Linked DNA regions of Saccharomyces cerevisiae S288C. The protein of the gene in region 1 interacts with the protein of each later gene in a biochemical or structural test. Each region holds a gene or a part of one and is shown on either strand. Other genes may lie near its edges.

Region 1 (3,846 bases):
CAAATAAGGAAATAAGGGAAGAATATGCAGTAGTCAAATCATCAGTGTTCTCTTTGATACCTTTCAGGGCTAGGAATAGTGGGGGTGGAGTATAATATCAAAAACCGGACTTAACATTATTGGTTCGGTTGGAATTGGCTATAGGCAAACTAGTCTCCGGCATGATATATAAATGACAGCCTGCAATTGTATGTTACTACACTCTTGACTTGTCGACTACAGTCGCTGCTCAGGCACGAGAATAGGAGGTAAGAAGGTAACGTACGTATATATATAAAATCGTAATGACAAAGATTAAGGTAGCTAACCCCATTGTGGAAATGGACGGCGATGAGCAAACAAGAATAATCTGGCATTTAATCAGGGACAAGTTAGTCTTGCCCTATCTTGACGTTGATTTGAAGTACTACGATCTTTCCGTGGAGTATCGTGACCAGACTAATGATCAAGTAACTGTGGATTCTGCCACCGCGACTTTAAAGTATGGAGTAGCTGTCAAATGCGCGACTATTACACCCGATGAGGCAAGGGTCGAGGAATTTCATTTGAAAAAGATGTGGAAATCTCCAAATGGTACTATTAGAAACATTTTGGGTGGTACAGTGTTCAGAGAACCTATTATTATCCCTAGAATTCCAAGGCTAGTTCCTCAATGGGAGAAGCCCATCATCATTGGGAGACACGCATTCGGCGATCAGTACAAAGCTACCGATGTAATAGTCCCTGAAGAAGGCGAGTTGAGGCTTGTTTATAAATCCAAGAGCGGAACTCATGATGTAGATCTGAAGGTATTTGACTACCCAGAACATGGTGGGGTTGCCATGATGATGTACAACACTACAGATTCGATCGAAGGGTTTGCGAAGGCCTCCTTTGAATTGGCCATTGAAAGGAAGTTACCATTATATTCCACTACTAAGAATACTATTTTGAAGAAGTATGATGGTAAATTCAAAGATGTTTTCGAAGCCATGTATGCTAGAAGTTATAAAGAGAAGTTTGAATCCCTTGGCATCTGGTACGAGCACCGTTTAATTGATGATATGGTGGCCCAAATGTTGAAATCTAAAGGTGGATACATAATTGCCATGAAAAATTACGACGGTGACGTAGAATCAGATATTGTTGCACAAGGATTTGGCTCCTTGGGGTTAATGACATCTGTGTTGATTACCCCGGACGGTAAAACCTTTGAAAGCGAAGCCGCCCACGGTACAGTAACAAGACATTTTAGACAGCATCAGCAAGGAAAGGAGACGTCAACAAATTCCATTGCATCAATTTTCGCGTGGACTAGAGGTATTATTCAAAGGGGTAAACTTGATAATACTCCAGATGTAGTTAAGTTCGGCCAAATATTGGAAAGCGCTACGGTAAATACAGTGCAAGAAGATGGAATCATGACTAAAGATTTGGCGCTCATTCTCGGTAAGTCTGAAAGATCCGCTTATGTCACTACCGAGGAGTTCATTGACGCGGTGGAATCTAGATTGAAAAAAGAGTTCGAGGCAGCTGCATTGTAAACTTACTCAATGACAGATTGATTTATTTATATTATATATTCCCTTTTTATCGAAAAACTTTTAGTATTTTCTACTCGTAACATATGATCTTCTGTTCTCACTGAAAATTTTTCTTTCTTCTTTTCCCTCTTCGCAAAAAGAAAATGCTGAAAAAATTTGAAAAATTTTCAAATGATGAGATGTTTAGCTTAGGAAAAATATAATGTAAAGATAGTTTTCAGAACATTTTTTATTGGTTTTTTTTTTTAAAGATTCATTATCATCTGGAGTTCGTTACAACCTACACAGAGGACCGATATACACAATGTCAAAGGAGGATTTCGTTATTAAGCCTGAAGCTGCAGGTGCTTCCACTGACACTAGTGAATGGCCATTACTTTTGAAGAATTTTGATAAGTTATTAGTCAGAAGTGGTCATTATACCCCTATCCCAGCTGGTAGTTCACCACTAAAGAGAGACCTGAAATCATATATCAGCTCTGGTGTCATTAATCTAGATAAACCTTCCAACCCATCATCGCACGAAGTTGTAGCTTGGATCAAAAGAATCTTACGTTGTGAGAAGACTGGTCACTCTGGTACATTGGATCCAAAAGTTACAGGTTGTTTGATTGTTTGTATTGACAGAGCTACCAGGTTGGTTAAGTCTCAACAAGGTGCTGGTAAGGAGTATGTGTGTATTGTCAGATTGCATGATGCTTTGAAGGATGAAAAGGATTTGGGCCGCTCACTAGAAAACTTGACCGGTGCGCTTTTCCAAAGACCTCCTTTAATCTCTGCTGTTAAGAGACAATTACGTGTTCGTACTATCTATGAGTCAAACTTGATTGAGTTCGATAACAAGAGAAACTTAGGTGTTTTCTGGGCTTCCTGTGAAGCTGGTACTTATATGCGTACTTTGTGTGTTCATTTAGGTATGCTATTAGGTGTTGGTGGTCACATGCAAGAATTGCGTCGTGTTAGATCCGGTGCTCTGTCTGAAAATGACAACATGGTCACTTTACATGATGTTATGGATGCCCAATGGGTTTACGACAATACAAGAGATGAATCTTACTTGAGATCCATTATTCAACCTTTAGAAACTCTATTGGTTGGTTACAAGAGAATTGTAGTGAAGGATTCTGCTGTCAATGCAGTATGTTATGGTGCAAAGTTGATGATCCCTGGTTTATTGCGTTACGAAGAAGGTATTGAGTTATATGACGAAATTGTCTTGATAACTACCAAGGGTGAAGCCATTGCCGTTGCCATCGCACAAATGTCAACCGTTGACTTAGCTTCCTGTGATCATGGTGTTGTTGCTAGTGTGAAGAGATGTATCATGGAAAGAGATTTATACCCAAGAAGATGGGGTTTGGGTCCAGTCGCACAAAAGAAGAAGCAAATGAAGGCAGACGGCAAATTGGATAAATACGGCCGTGTTAACGAAAACACCCCAGAACAATGGAAAAAAGAATATGTTCCATTAGACAATGCTGAACAGTCAACTTCTAGCTCTCAGGAAACTAAGGAAACTGAAGAAGAGCCTAAGAAAGCTAAAGAAGATTCTTTAATCAAAGAAGTCGAAACTGAGAAGGAAGAAGTGAAAGAGGATGACAGCAAAAAGGAAAAGAAAGAGAAGAAGGACAAGAAGGAAAAGAAGGAAAAGAAAGAAAAGAAGGACAAGAAGGAAAAGAAAGAGAAAAAGGAGAAGAAAAGAAAGTCTGAAGACGGTGATTCTGAGGAAAAGAAATCTAAGAAATCTAAGAAATGATTCTCATCACTCCATCTCATCCTATATATTTAACAGCTTTCTTTTTTTCAAAAAACTTTTTCTATTATTAGATTAGATTTTTTTTAGTGTGTATATTAATAACGTAAAATTTCTTTATCAACGACTTGTAGTATTCTTTTACTTTTATTTTTTTTACATATGCAACGTTATATTCTTTTTTAAATATCCCCATATACTAATGATAGAACTTTTAAACTTTTAGGCCATTGACGAATTTCATGACTTCAAAACAGTAGTTCAGCAATTGGCCCATGACATTATTTAGAAACAACCATGATAGCAAATTCTCATTTGATTTTAAGCTAATATCGCCGATTATTGCATTCCTGAATCTTGTGCTGCAATCAATTAATTTCAAGCACGAAAATTTGCTTTGTAGGGAAATAAAGGAACAAAAATCTTTAATCATTTCATTTAAGGACTTGCATTCGATAGACACAGAGGGATCATTGCTAACGCTCATAGAGGAATTTAAGAACTTTGTTACGAAAACTTGACAGAACCCTTGTAAATGTTGCATTATTGTGTTTGTCTCTGAATTTGTAT
Region 2 (3,982 bases), on another chromosome or scaffold:
ATGGCTTAGTTATAACCTTTAATGAAAACATTGCTTTGAGCTGTTCAAACATGGCCCGAGGCGATTTCAATCCTATGGCAGGTGTAGGGTTTCTTTCTTTTAAGAGCGCAATAGCAACTAGAACACTTATGCTACACGATATGCCTATGATACGAAGGCACCACCGGGTATTTCCAAAGTCAGAAAGCATTTTGTTTGTAGCCAAACCGTAAACGACACCACCAGCACCGGTACCCAATAATGAGACACCCATTGCGACAGCTCTTTTTTTCAAGAACCATCCTGGTAAGACGGTTGTTGCTGGAACGAAAATCAGTGATATTGAACAACCGACCATAAAACCTTGGGTGACATACAATTGCCATAACTTGGTAGTAAAGGAGGCCAAGAGATATGCGGCAAGCATTACAGCATCACCAAAAAGCATGGTGGTCCGCAGACCAATTATTCTCATCAGTGCCATCACAAGGGGGGATAAGAGTTGACCGAGAAAGACAGTTAGGCCAGCAATTAAGGCATAATCGTACTTCGAAGCACCAGGGTAAGTATCATGGTTTAAGTAGTAGGCAAGGTCGACACCGAAGGATGCGTTGCAGCCCCACGTGGAAAACATGGTCAAGAACACACAGAATGTCACGACCCAGCCATAACCACCGTCGGGGGGCAGTTCCAGCTGCCCGGTAGACTTGTTGGTGAATACTTTTTTTACAGTCGGTTCATCAGGCTCGAATTCGGTTATTCCTTGGGCCTCAAGATCCTTACCGGAGTGTTTCGTGGAAGCCGGATATAGTCTATTCCTCATGAGTTTGGAGTCCATGGAAGCTTTATGTTCTGTAGTATCATTTTGAATAGAAGAAGCAGAGAAAGCAGAGGAAGATGGTGCCGACAACGAGGCGCCTGCAGTCGTGGTGTGTGTGACTGGGATGTTTAACTTTGACTGGACTGACTCATTGTGCTGTAGCCTAATGGCATCGGCCACGTCAAATCTAGATTCTAATATTTTATTAACGTCTGCGGAATTTTCTTCCGTCTGCAAGTTGTCGTCATCGACAGCCTTTTTAATGTCGTTGAGCCGATTAGTTAACGTCCTACTAATAGACAATTTTCTCGATGCATCGTTCGACTTGGTGCTGTGTAGATCAGAGCATGGAACCGGAGCAGCAATAGAAGCCTTAGAGAATGATACAGGCTGTGAAGAGTTTATCGAAGAAACCTCGGACGATGTCTCAGAGACCATTCCGGAAGAAGCAGAAAAGTAGTCGTTTGAGTGCGTTGACATTTTTCAGATTTATTTTCAGAAGCCCCGTAATTATACCTAAAGAAAAAGTAAAGAAAAGTGGAGAAAACAAAAGAAAAAGATAAAACTTTTAAATATGTGGTGTGACAAATGCAAAATACTATTCTGACTCGCACATTTAACTAACAAAAGAAAATTTGTCTAAGTCTAGCAGCTTTGGTAGAATATAGAAGAAACAGTCTAGTTTTGGCTCCGATATGAGTGGACAAAGCATCAAGATCTAAGGAATGCCAAGTATTTATCCAGGTTCTCCCGAAGACTTTTCTTCAATAGCGGCGGGGGTTTTTTTTTTTTGCAGATTGCCGAGATAGCCCGCGGCAAAGATACGTTATCTCGGTTATCGTCGGCAAGCGCTATTGTAACTAGATATAGGAAACTGTGGTCTGCAAAGATGCGGTATAAGGCCTCCGTCTGTTCTTACTGCGTTATCAGCCTTTGACAGTTTTAGTTCGTCAGGGTCTTTGACCAAATGATAAATTCCCTGGTTTACATTTTCACTAGTTTGTTCTCGAGCAATGCTTAGTTGGCACATAAATGAGTCAGGCACTACCACTCGGGTAACGGTCTGCGCGTTTCTTTTTGCGGCCATGAAATTTTTCAGGCGATGAGCTTAAAGGTAAAGGAAAAAGATGGTAGGATGATAGGTAGGATGAAGCGGTATGAAAGTGGAAGAAGCACAATATAGCACGTCGAAACAGTGCTAATCATGAGCGATGACTTGTTTTCTAAGGCTTTGGAGAATCCCGACCAGGACTTGAACGTGGAATTGCCCAAGGATGATGTTGATTTAGGTCTTTTAGGTGATGGTGGGAACGAGAGGAAGACCGATGAACCGGTAGCAGACGCAGAAAGATCAACAGGCCTAGGATCCGGCTCTTCTGAATCCGAATCAGATTCCGGTTCTGATTCTGATTCTGATTCTGGCTCTTCAGGTAGTGAGGATGATTCTGCAGATCAGGACGTTGAAGGAGAGGACGAAGGTGGTGACGCGATTGAAAATGAAGACGAAGACGAAGACCCTTCACCTTCCGGTCCTATACTATCGAAGAACGAAATACTAGAGGAAACTGTTCCTGAACTACCGGAAGATTATGAAATTTCAGAAAAAACGATCATCACTCCTATTGGTGTTTTGAAGTCTGCATTTGAAAATAATATAATCATTCACGCCACGATGTCGGGCGAAAAGCGTGTTTTAAAAGAGGGTTCCATTTTCTGTCTCGAGGATAGAACTTTGATCGGGATGTTGACGGAGGTGTTTGGACCCTTGCAAAACCCATTTTATAGAATTAAGTTGCCCGATTCAAAAAAAAACTTATTCGATGAATTAAAAGTGCGTTTGGGTGAGAAAGCCTTTATAGTCACCCCTGATGCCCACTGGATAGATACTTTCGAGTTAAAGCGCAACAAAGGTACTGATGCGTCTAATGGGTACGATGAAGAATTACCTGAAGAGGAACAAGAATTTTCCGACGACGAAAAAGAGGCCCTTTTCAAGAAAATGAAGAAACAGCAACGGCAACGAAAGAAAAGGGACAACCGCAAACTAGCCAACGATAGTGACAATGTCAAGGTAAAGAGAGCTCGGCAGCCCAAGGCCAACAGTTTACCTAAACTGGTACCGCCGTTGGGCATGAGCAGTAATGCTCCGATGCAACATGGGTACAAATCAAGAAACGCACGTGAAAATATCAAGCGTGAATCCAGTGCTACCTCTAATCGGAATGGCTCCTCCCCAGTGCCAATCACACAGCACCACCAACAACAGTTTTCTGCAAATAATTATCCCTTCCCTCAACAACCAAACGGTATGCCTTATCCACCATACTCACCTTTCCCTCAGCCGACTAACTTCCAGTATCCACCTCCACCATTTGGGCAGGCGACACCGGCCCAATTCTCCAACACTGTTCCATATGGTAGCTTACCTCCCGCATACAACAATATGTCGCCGCCAACACAGCAGTCGTTCATGCCAATGACCCAAAGTCAACCGCCACTTCCATATGGCGTACCTCCCATGAATCAAATGCAAAACCCAATGTACATCCAACCGCCACCTCAAGCACCTCCTCAGGGAAATGGTAATTTCCAACAAGTAATGGAATTACATCAAATACTTTTGCAGCAACAGCAACAGCAACACCAGTATCAGCATCAGCATCAGCAAGATCCAAGAACCTAGAGTCACGATTGAAATATTTAATAATAAATGCTATGTATCATAGATAAACTAGAAAGAGGCAAGAAAAATTTAACAAGTTTCTTAATTGAATATTATTTTACTGTCACTACCATTATTAGACGCCATCTCAGCGTGTGACATGATAATTTTTCTTTTTTTCTTTTTTTTTCCTCAAGGCGATGATATGAAACTTTCAAAAAATTTATATGTAAATAAAAAAGTTCTACGAGGGTTTAAATACGGAAGTTTATTTAGAAGATATTTATACTCTGAATACACACGTAGAGTACAGTAAAGGTTTTTTAGATCTACTAATGACCATATCGTTGAGCAATATAAAGAAAAGAGACCATTCTAAAATTTCCGATGGAACTTCTGGTGAATCATCGCTTGTAAAAAGGAAACAGTTGGAAAGCGCCACCGGAGATCAAGAGGAAGAATATACAGACCATGAAATCATTATAGAGCCGTTGCACTTTGCTAATAATAATAACACTGTA

Evidence for each region. Proteins that work in one complex are often made in the same cells at the same time.
Region 2: the proteins of CBF5 (region 1) and NAF1 form a complex in vitro, tested with the Saccharomyces cerevisiae proteins (2 studies listed by BioGRID).

Annotation. Positions count from the first base shown.
Region 1 is NC_001144.5:504,307-508,152, forward strand, and holds CBF5 (pseudouridine synthase CBF5), read left to right. Parts: upstream 1-1,827; coding exon 1,828-3,279; downstream 3,280-3,846. Other genes in the region: isocitrate dehydrogenase (NADP(+)) IDP2, read left to right, coding at 285-1,523; RFX1 (Rfx1p), read right to left, coding at 3,491-3,846. UniProt on the Saccharomyces cerevisiae protein: Catalytic subunit of H/ACA small nucleolar ribonucleoprotein (H/ACA snoRNP) complex, which catalyzes pseudouridylation of rRNA. This involves the isomerization of uridine such that the ribose is subsequently attached to C5, instead of the normal N1.
Region 2 is NC_001146.8:390,889-394,870, forward strand, and holds NAF1 (RNA-binding snoRNP assembly protein), read left to right. Parts: upstream 1-2,003; coding exon 2,004-3,482; downstream 3,483-3,982. Other genes in the region: ESBP6 (Esbp6p), read right to left, coding at 1-1,279; NMA111 (Nma111p), read left to right, coding at 3,797-3,982. UniProt on the Saccharomyces cerevisiae protein: RNA-binding protein required for the maturation of box H/ACA snoRNPs complex and ribosome biogenesis.